2 linked regions of the Danio rerio genome follow. The protein of the gene in region 1 interacts with the protein of each later gene in a biochemical or structural test. Links are inferred from orthologs where the notes say so. Each region holds a gene or a part of one and is shown in the gene's direction. Other genes may lie near its edges.

Region 1 (4,596 bases):
TCTCTCCATCTGAATAACAGATATCATGTCAGAAATCCAGTTCTGGCATGAAGGGGCCAAGGGTCAAAGGGGATTTTAGCCACGACCATGCCCTGCATTAAAGACTTTTGCATTGTTTGAGGGAGAGATGTATTTTGTAAGAAGCCAACGTCTGCTAAGCCTTGCAGTACTACGCATATTACAGTTACTCTTACTGGCACAATCAGAAGTGTAAATTTTTTTTTATCAAAGTTGTAAATATACAAAACATTGCTGTATTTTACTTTTTTTGTTCATTCAACAAGAAATAAAATCCTGCTAATAAATATTGAAGAAATATAAGTAGCCTACCTAACATATTTGTAGATTTCACTGTACTTATTAACATGTTTGTTTTATAATTAATTTAAGTTCAACGGAATGGAAATCTTTCAACGGAATGGAAAGATTTTACTGCTGCATCTGACTGAGCAATGAAGTGTTCATTACTCAGATAGACATACAGATAGACATACAGTAATAGTAAAAATGAAAATGAAAACTAAAGTAGGCCTGCAGCACCTACCATGTCATGACACGACTGTTTTTTATGTGTAAAACTTGAAATGAAACACAGAACACGTTTTTGGTATCCAAATACCAAGAAGCTTTTGTCTTATTTTACAATAAGTATATTTAAAAAGAAAACAATGTCAAGCAACGCGATCTGCTTTGTTGTAAATCTCAAACCAACAAAATATCAGTTTTAGGATATAATGGAGAACAAGGTCCATTGCATTTACAATCAAAAATAAACAAATAAACAAACAAATAAATAAATAAACAAACAAACAGACCGAATAAAATGCAGCAAATGTCCAGCAGGTGGCAATAAACATTAGTGTTTTTAATGGAAAACTAATATATTAATGAAATCTCTGGCGTATTAAACCCCCATTGATTAAACCACATACAAAAGCTGAGAAGTATTATTTAAAATTAGATTGCGTGCGTAAATCTATTGAAAATGTAAAAAATTAAAATAAAAAAAAATTGGGCAAAACGAAAACATGAAAAACGTACATTGAAAAATAAATAAAATATAGTAAAAAACACAGGAAATAGGGTAGGAACAAATGGCAATATTTATAAATCTTAATATAAAATATAAAAAAGATAAATAAAAAGTTGGTAATAGTAAGAAAGAAATATGTGACAAATGTTAAAGATGGGGAATTAGAAAAAGTCTATAAAATATATGATATTTTAATGCATGGTGTGTACAAGTAGGAATATATAAATTTGAATTAAAAATGTAGTTAGCAGGAGAAAATAAACAAGACACTAATTAAAGTAATTAAAAAGTTTGAAAGAAATTTGAAAATGGCACGTTTAATTTTTATTTATTTTAGAATGGGCTAAAACTAAACTTCCACCATTTCTATTTCTATGAACTTCCACAAATGGTTCTGTCTATGGAAATATAATATTGGTACATTGTAATAAAATAAATTCATTTTTAAGAAGCATTATGAAAACAAAATAATTTCAAAAATATCGTAAATTAATACTAAATAAACACAATATGAGTTGATTCATGTTGATGGCATTTTTGTTATGGATGCCACAGAGTCCCGCCTACACATGGATCAACAAGAAACTCCGCAAAACATTCGTCCAATCACATCGCCGCTCTCACATCGTTCCTTTCTAACGGCAATTCTCATTGAGTGGATGATGTGTCAGTCACAGTAGCAACGTCCCTTTTCTGGACATCAAACCACAGAGGAAAAACTGCAACAGGGGCTTCACTGAGGGGGCGAAAGTGTAACAAAGCGTTTTCCAGCACCGGTGACTTTATCGCCTTTTCCAATACGGAAGTTGAAAAGAACAACACATTTTCTTGCTTTTCGAGAACTTTTCCCTGTTTGGCGCGGCCGTGCGGGGATGGATGAGATGCGGCCTAGCAGCGGAGCAGCAGCACACCTCGGCCTCGCCTCGATCTTTCCCCCGGGATTGCAGGCCATTTATGGGGAATGCAGACGTCTGTATCCCGACCAGGCGAACCCGCTGCAAGTCACAGCCATTGTGAAGTATTGGTGAGACGCCTGAAACATTCAAATGTCATGTCGTTGCTTGTTATGTGCGCATTAAAGCAGCAAAATAATTGAATATAGCTTGCAGAATAGTTTCACAGATTATAGTTTTCCTTTCTAGCCTGAAAGGAAGAAGTACTTCTAGGCAGAAAACAAATTTTCCAGTGAACCTTTTCTCCATCTCAATATATCACCCTTTTCTCTCAAAATCCTCCTTTCAGGTTAGGTGGTCCAGATCCTCTGGATTACATTAGTATGTACAGAAACGTGGGATGTCCTGGACAAGACGTACCAGAACATTGGCACTATGTCAGCCTGGGTCTCAGTGACTTGTATGGAGACAACAGAGTTCACGAGTAAGAATGTCATATTATAACAGGTCATGACCTTACAGTGTTGTTTTGTTACAACAGGACAGCTAGTCTAGTTCAAGCCATGTTGTTATTTACCTGAAAGTGGAGATCAAACTTAGAAAACAATTCATAAAACACTTCATATTTAAAAAAAAAAAAAAATCAAAAATTTTCTAAATGTAAGACCTTGTGGTTCTAAACCATGATAGTGAAACAGTATTTTTCAAAAGAGCCAAGGCACTTCAACAAAAAAGACCTTTATTTTGAGGAAAACCATGATCAGAACTGGACAGCAAAAATATAATAAACAAGGCTGCAACACCAAAGATCCAAAAATACCAATTTATTAAATGAAGAAGGCTAGCACAATGCATGTAACGTTTTGAGCACATGGTCTTTTCATCAGACTGTATTCATCACAGCATGTTGCTCCTTTTATTCGGGGCATTCTCCCAGAAACCATTTTCACTTATAAAAACGCAACAGGGCCTGACCTACGCTTGTCGTTCTCAAAAAAAAAAAAAAATCATACAAAAACAAACATAAAATCAACTTGAGTGGATAGAACACATCCTTGATCTCCGTCAGCTTCTTATTTATCAAATGATGTCACTTCTGAGTCTTAGCCTTAAAAAAAGTTTTATTCAATTCAATTTAGCTTTATTTGTATAGCGCTTTTACAATGTAGATTGTGTCAAAGCAGCTTCACATAAATGGTCATAGCAACTGGATCAGGGTAGTTCAGTTTTTAGTGTTTAAGTTCAGTTCAGTTTAGCTCAGTTCAGTGTGGTTTGAAGTCATTATTGAGAGTCCAAACACTGAAGAGCAAATTCATCGATGAGTAGCTTTTCAGATCCTGAACCATGCAAGCCAGTGGCGACAGCGGAGAGGGAAAAAAAATTCACCAATAGGAGAGTGAAGAAAAAAACTTTGAGAGAACCAGACTCAGTTCGGCACGACCGTTTTAATGCAAGCATTTTATGTTAAATTTAATGCAAATGTGACAGGACACAGAAACATGTGGACAATTGTAAATTTGTTTGTTATATATTTGTAGCATTTATTTGTAGAACCTATTTATAACTTCATGTTTTTATTAGATCAATCAATGTAAATGATAACAACTTAAACTTATGAAGTATTCATAAGTGAAGTATTGTTCTTCTAAATTGCAGTTTATAGCTAAACAAAACTATTAAAGCTGTAGAAACAACTTGGCTGAGGAGAATGACAATGACAGAGTTTACAATGTAAAGTGTTTTAAATGAAGAAACAAATGAAGACATGTTCCTTTACAGAATTCAACCCCAGAAATCAACCATCACTCCATTTTAGACATTTTTGGGATGAAATACTGTTTATTTACTGCATTTATGTTTTTATTTCTGGGACAGATAATGTATGTTTCTGGTAGAATGTCCCATATACTTCTGGATCAGTTGATCTCATACGTAATCTTACCACAAAAAAATAGAAAAATGCACATTAGTACATTACACAACTTACACATTCAAAATAAAAATACAAAAATAAATCAATCCAAATACAACAAAAAAAGCAACAAAACATAGCCAGAAAACTTTTACCCAAACAACTGAATAAACATTATATAGTATATCATATATAATATATATAAAGTATATCAGATTCCTTATTTAAACCTCTTGGAGACAACCCATCTAGAGTGGAAATCCAAAAGGCTTCATGTTTTAACAGCCATTTATTAAGATCTGACTTATGCAGAGTTCAGACTGCATGATTTCAGCCCCGATTTTGACTCACCCACAGGTTTTGAGCAATCGCAGACAAATTCCTGAAATCACAGGCAAATAGCTGCTCGTTCACGCGAGTAACAATCACACAGTGTGAACTATCCAAGACGCTATCTGAGATAATCGCTGATGAGTCGCCGACACCTGTGAGAAATTTGGCACGCTAAATATCTGGAGCTGTCGCCGATTCAAATCATACCGTGTAAAATGAGTTTCGACTGAAAATAACATCGGCGATTACCGACAATGAGAGAGCAGCATCCACTTGTATGGGTCTCTGCAAGCCAGCAGGACGTTGGGGTAGAACTTAAAATTGCTTCTTCTCAGTCAATTTGGACCCAAGAAATGGGGGAAAAACTAGTGTAAATTTGGCAGGAGCGCTCGAGCTATATAACGATTGGGTCGAAAAAAAAAGTT
Region 2 (4,581 bases), on another chromosome or scaffold:
TTGGGTGAGATTTGGGCCGGTGATGGCCCATGTGTGGCCCTTGTCTTTAATTCAATTCAATTCAATTCAGCTTTATTTGTATAGCGCTTTTACAATGTAGATTGTGTCAAAGCAGCTTCACATAAATGGTCATAGTAACTGGAACAGTGTAGTTCAGTTTTTAGTGTTTAAGTTCAGTTCAGTTTAGCTCAGTTCAGTGTGATTTAAACAATTCAATTCAATTCAATTCAGCTTTATTTGTATGGCGCTTTTACAATGTAGATTGTGTCAAAGCAGCTTCACATAAATGGTCATAGTAACTGGAACAGTGCGGTTCAGTAACTGGAACAGTGTGGTTCAGGTTTTAGTGTTTAAGTTCAGTTCAGTTCAGTTTAGCTCAGTTCAGTGTGATTTAATCATTACTAAGTAAGTAGTAATTAACATTACTAAGAGTTCAAACACTGAAGAGCAAATTCATCGATGCGTAGCTCTACCAATTCTGAACCATGCGAGGCAGTGGCGACAGCGGAGAGGGAAAAAAACTTCACCTGATGGAGTGAAGAAAAAAAACCTTGAGAGAACCAGACTCAGTTGGGCACGACCATTTTAATTTCTCCGCTGGCCAAAAGTCTTGTGCAGAGCTTCAGTCTTTAATCCAGTTATGGGCCACTTCAGGACCGTTATTCCTTGTGGTAGTTGGGCCAAGGAAAAAAGTTATTGTGTGGGCCGGAGCTGGGCCAGAAAACATTTGCTCTGTGGGCACTGTAATGAAATTGATAAACCCATGAAGCAGTGCGCTTTAGGCGTACTGTGGGCATGCTTTTTCTCGAAGCGACCTGATTGGTAGGATTTTTTTTCTTTATTTGAAAATAATAAAAATGTATATTAAATGGGGTCAAGATTTACATATCAATCCTTAACATCTGGCCCAAATACTACATTTGTCATCTGGCCCAAGTATTGTGTGCCGCCTTAAAAAAAAAGAGCCAAATCTGGGCAGAATTCTGTGCAACCTGGGTAGTTGTCTTTTTATAGGAATTGTGATGTTAAATTTTTGGTTGATACTATTGTGGTGTGGGTGGCGCGGTGGCGCAGTGGGTAGCGCTGTTACCTCACAGCAAGAAGTCGCTGGTTCAAGTCCCGGCTCGATCAGTTGGTGTTTCTGTGTGGAGTTTGCATCTTCTCCCTGTGTTGGCGTGGGTTTCCTCCGGGTGCTCCGGTTTCTCTCACAGTCCAAACACATGCGCTATAGGGGAACTGATGAACTAAATTAGCCCTAGTGTATAAGTGTGAATGAGTGTGTATGTGAATGAGTGTGTGTGGGTGTTTCCCAGTGATGGGTTGCATCTAAAAAGTCATTCGCTGTGTAAAACATATGCTAAATAAGTTGGCGGTTCATTCCGCTGTGGCAAACCCTGATTAATAAAGGCACTAAGCCAAAAAGAAAATGTATGACTGAATATTGTGGTGTTGGCCCACGACTTCATTCATGAATGCAGATTCTTTATTTAATTATCATATATTTATTTTTCTTACTGCTATTTAGACTTGGAGGTGTATGAAGATGTGTCTCACGATTGTTGCAAGCTATTATATTCTTTCAAACATTAATTTAAAAAAGAAAAACAAACGCAAATCAAGCATGTTTAGTTTTATTCAAATAGTTTTCTTAAAAGCGCTTATGATTGGCCATCCGCTCCATACAGACAGCAGCTCCAGCCATTGACAGCCCGCTTTAATAGAGAGCGGTGGGCGGGATTTCCTCTGTTATTTGAAATCCGGAAGTGTTTTGAAATATAGTAGCAGGTTGACACCGCGGTTCGTTCGCTCCTGTTAGCGTGTCGTGCGGATTATGAGAGCCCGGGACGGAGCTGCTGAGGGCCGCGTGAGCTGGTGAGCACCGCCGGGGGTTATTAGCACACTTACCGAGTCCTGCTTATCTTCTTAGGACGGAGTTTTAATGGCGTCGCCCGCTACTATCACTCAATGAAACACAACAACAGTCCGCTCCGTCAACACTGACAGCAGTAGCTCTTGTTGATTCTCAGTGTTTATTACAGCAGCACACGCTTTAAGCACACATTTGAGAGATATATAAAGCAGCCCTGTTGTCTTGTACACTCTTCATACACATGCATAAAGTACTGTGGTACACCAGTGGAAATAATAGTACTTATATTAGCTCTAGTTCATTCTCAATCAGCAGAACACGCTTTAATAACATTGAGATGTATAAATCTGTCCTGCAGACCTCTTACACATGCAGAAAGTACTGTTAGACTACTGTGGTACACTATAGTGGCAGTAGTAGGGATATATTAGCTCTTGTTGATTCTCAATGTCTATTACAGCAGCACACTCTTTATTTACACATTTGAGAAGTATAAAGCTGTCCTGTAGACTCTTTACTCGTGCAGACAGTACTGTGGTACACTAGTGGCAATAATTGTAGGGATAGATTGTCATCGTCATGATTACAAACCAAAGATATCACTTGGTATTGTGTGCATAAAACATTATTCGTCATGCTGTTGCATTTGTGTGTTATTATTTCAGCTTTGTGTTTTGAAACACCCAGAGTTATGACTTTACCATTTATGCATTATCAAGTAACTTGCTCTGCAGACTCTTCACCCATGCAGACAGTACTGTGGTAGAGGCAAAAATTGAATAGATAGATTAGCCCTTCTTAATTCTTAATGTTTATTACAGCAGCACACACTTACACATATTTTTGTAATAATACTTATTTTTTTAGAGTTTTTTCAGCTTTAATTTGGATAGGATAGTGGAGGTTAAAGAGAGGAAAGTATTCAGAGCAGAGAGAGAGGAAGGGTCTGCAAAGGACCTTTAGCTGGGAATCGAACTCGGGTCGCTGTGAGCACCATGGCTATATGTCAGCACACTTAACCACTAGGCCATTGGTGCTGACTTTAATCCCACATTTGATTAATCCTCATTGTTTATTACAGCAGAACACGCTTAAGTAACATATTGGTTAAATAACACTAGTGGCAATAATAGCATTGATAGATGATTATCCTCATGATTACAAACCAAAGACTTCACATCACTTGTTATTGTGTGCATAAAATATTATTAGACAGATAGATTGTATATTTATATTGCTTTATCTTCATGCTTTTGCATTTGTGTGTTATTATTTCAGCTTTGTGTTGTGAAACACCCGGAGTTATGACTTTACCATTTATGCATTATCATGTAACTTACTCTGCAGACTCTTCACCCATGCAGACAGTACTGTGGTAGAGGCAAAAATTGAATAGATAGATTAGCCCTTGTTGATTCTTAATGTTTATTACAGCAGCACACGCTTGCATCACTTATTTTTGTAATAATACTTATTACAAAAAAATTAATGCATTAATTTGGATAGGATAGTGGAGGTTACAGAGAGGAAAGTATTAGGAGCAGAGAGAGGAGAAGTGTCTGCAAAGGACCTCAAGCTGGGAATCGAACTCTGGTCGCAGTGAGCACCATGGTGCTATATGTCAGCGCACTTAACCACTAGGCCATTGGTGCTGACTTTAATCCCACATTTGATTAATCCTCATTGTTTATTACAGCAGAACACGCTTAAATAACATATTTGAGATGTATAAGTCTGTACTGTAAACTCTTTACACATGCAGAAAGTATTGTTAGACTACACTAGTGGCAATAATAGCATTGATAGATGATCGTCCTCATGATTACAAACCAAAGATATCACTTGGTATTGTGTGCATAAAACATTATTAGACATTGAGATTGTATATTTATATTTCTTTATCTTTATGCTGTTGCATTTGTGTGCTATTATTTCAGCTTTGTGTTGTGAAACTCCTGCAGTAATGACTTTTACATTTAAACATCGTCAAGTAACTTACTCTGCAGACAGTACTGTGGTAGAGGCAATAATGGGACTAATAGATTACCACTTGTTGATTCTTAATGTTTATTACAGCAGCACACGCTTTATTACACAGTTTTTAATAATTATTCTAAGGGGTTTTTCACCTTTAATATGGGAAGGATAGTGGAGGTTACAGACAGGAAAGTATTGGGAGCAGAGAGAGGGGAAGGGTCAGCAAAGGACCTTTAGCTGGGAATCGAACTCGGGTCACTGTGAGCACCATGGTGCTATATGTCAGCGCACTTAACCACTAGGCCATTGGTGCTGACTTTAATCCCACATTTGATTAATTCTCAATGTTTATTACAGCAAAACACACACTTTATTTACATATTTGAGAAATAAAAACCTGTCCAGTAGACTCTTTACTCATGCAGAAAGTACTGTGGTAAACTAGTGGCAATAATAGTACAGATATATTAGCTCTAGTTGATTCTCATTGTTTATTACAGCAGCACACACTTAAATAACACATTTGAGATGTATAAATCTGTCCTGTAGACTCTTAACCCATGCAGACAGTACTGTGGTGGAGGCAATAATGGAATGAATAGATTAGCACTTGTTTACTCTAATGTTTATTACAGCAGCGCACGCTTATATCACATATTCTATTTATAATAATTTTTTAAAGGGTTTTTCACCTTTAATATGGGAAGGATAGTGGAGGTTTCAGACAGGAAAGT

The links.
Region 2: of the proteins of sufu (region 1) and fbxl17, one has a biochemical effect on the other in vitro, tested with the Homo sapiens proteins (2 studies listed by BioGRID, with this or other methods). The link is inferred for Danio rerio from reciprocal best matches to the Homo sapiens genes SUFU and FBXL17.

The regions. Positions count from the first base shown.
Region 1 is NC_133188.1:12,249,998-12,254,593, forward strand, and holds the start of sufu (suppressor of fused homolog), read left to right. Parts: upstream 1-1,694; 5' UTR 1,695-1,905; coding exon 1,906-2,057; intron 2,058-2,275; coding exon 2,276-2,410; intron 2,411-4,596. UniProt on the Homo sapiens protein: Negative regulator in the hedgehog/smoothened signaling pathway. Down-regulates GLI1-mediated transactivation of target genes. Down-regulates GLI2-mediated transactivation of target genes. Part of a corepressor complex that acts on DNA-bound GLI1.
Region 2 is NC_133183.1:1,642,942-1,647,522, forward strand, and holds the start of fbxl17 (F-box/LRR-repeat protein 17), read left to right. Parts: upstream 1-1,777; 5' UTR 1,778-1,872; intron 1,873-4,581. UniProt on the Homo sapiens protein: Substrate-recognition component of the SCF(FBXL17) E3 ubiquitin ligase complex, a key component of a quality control pathway required to ensure functional dimerization of BTB domain-containing proteins (dimerization quality control, DQC).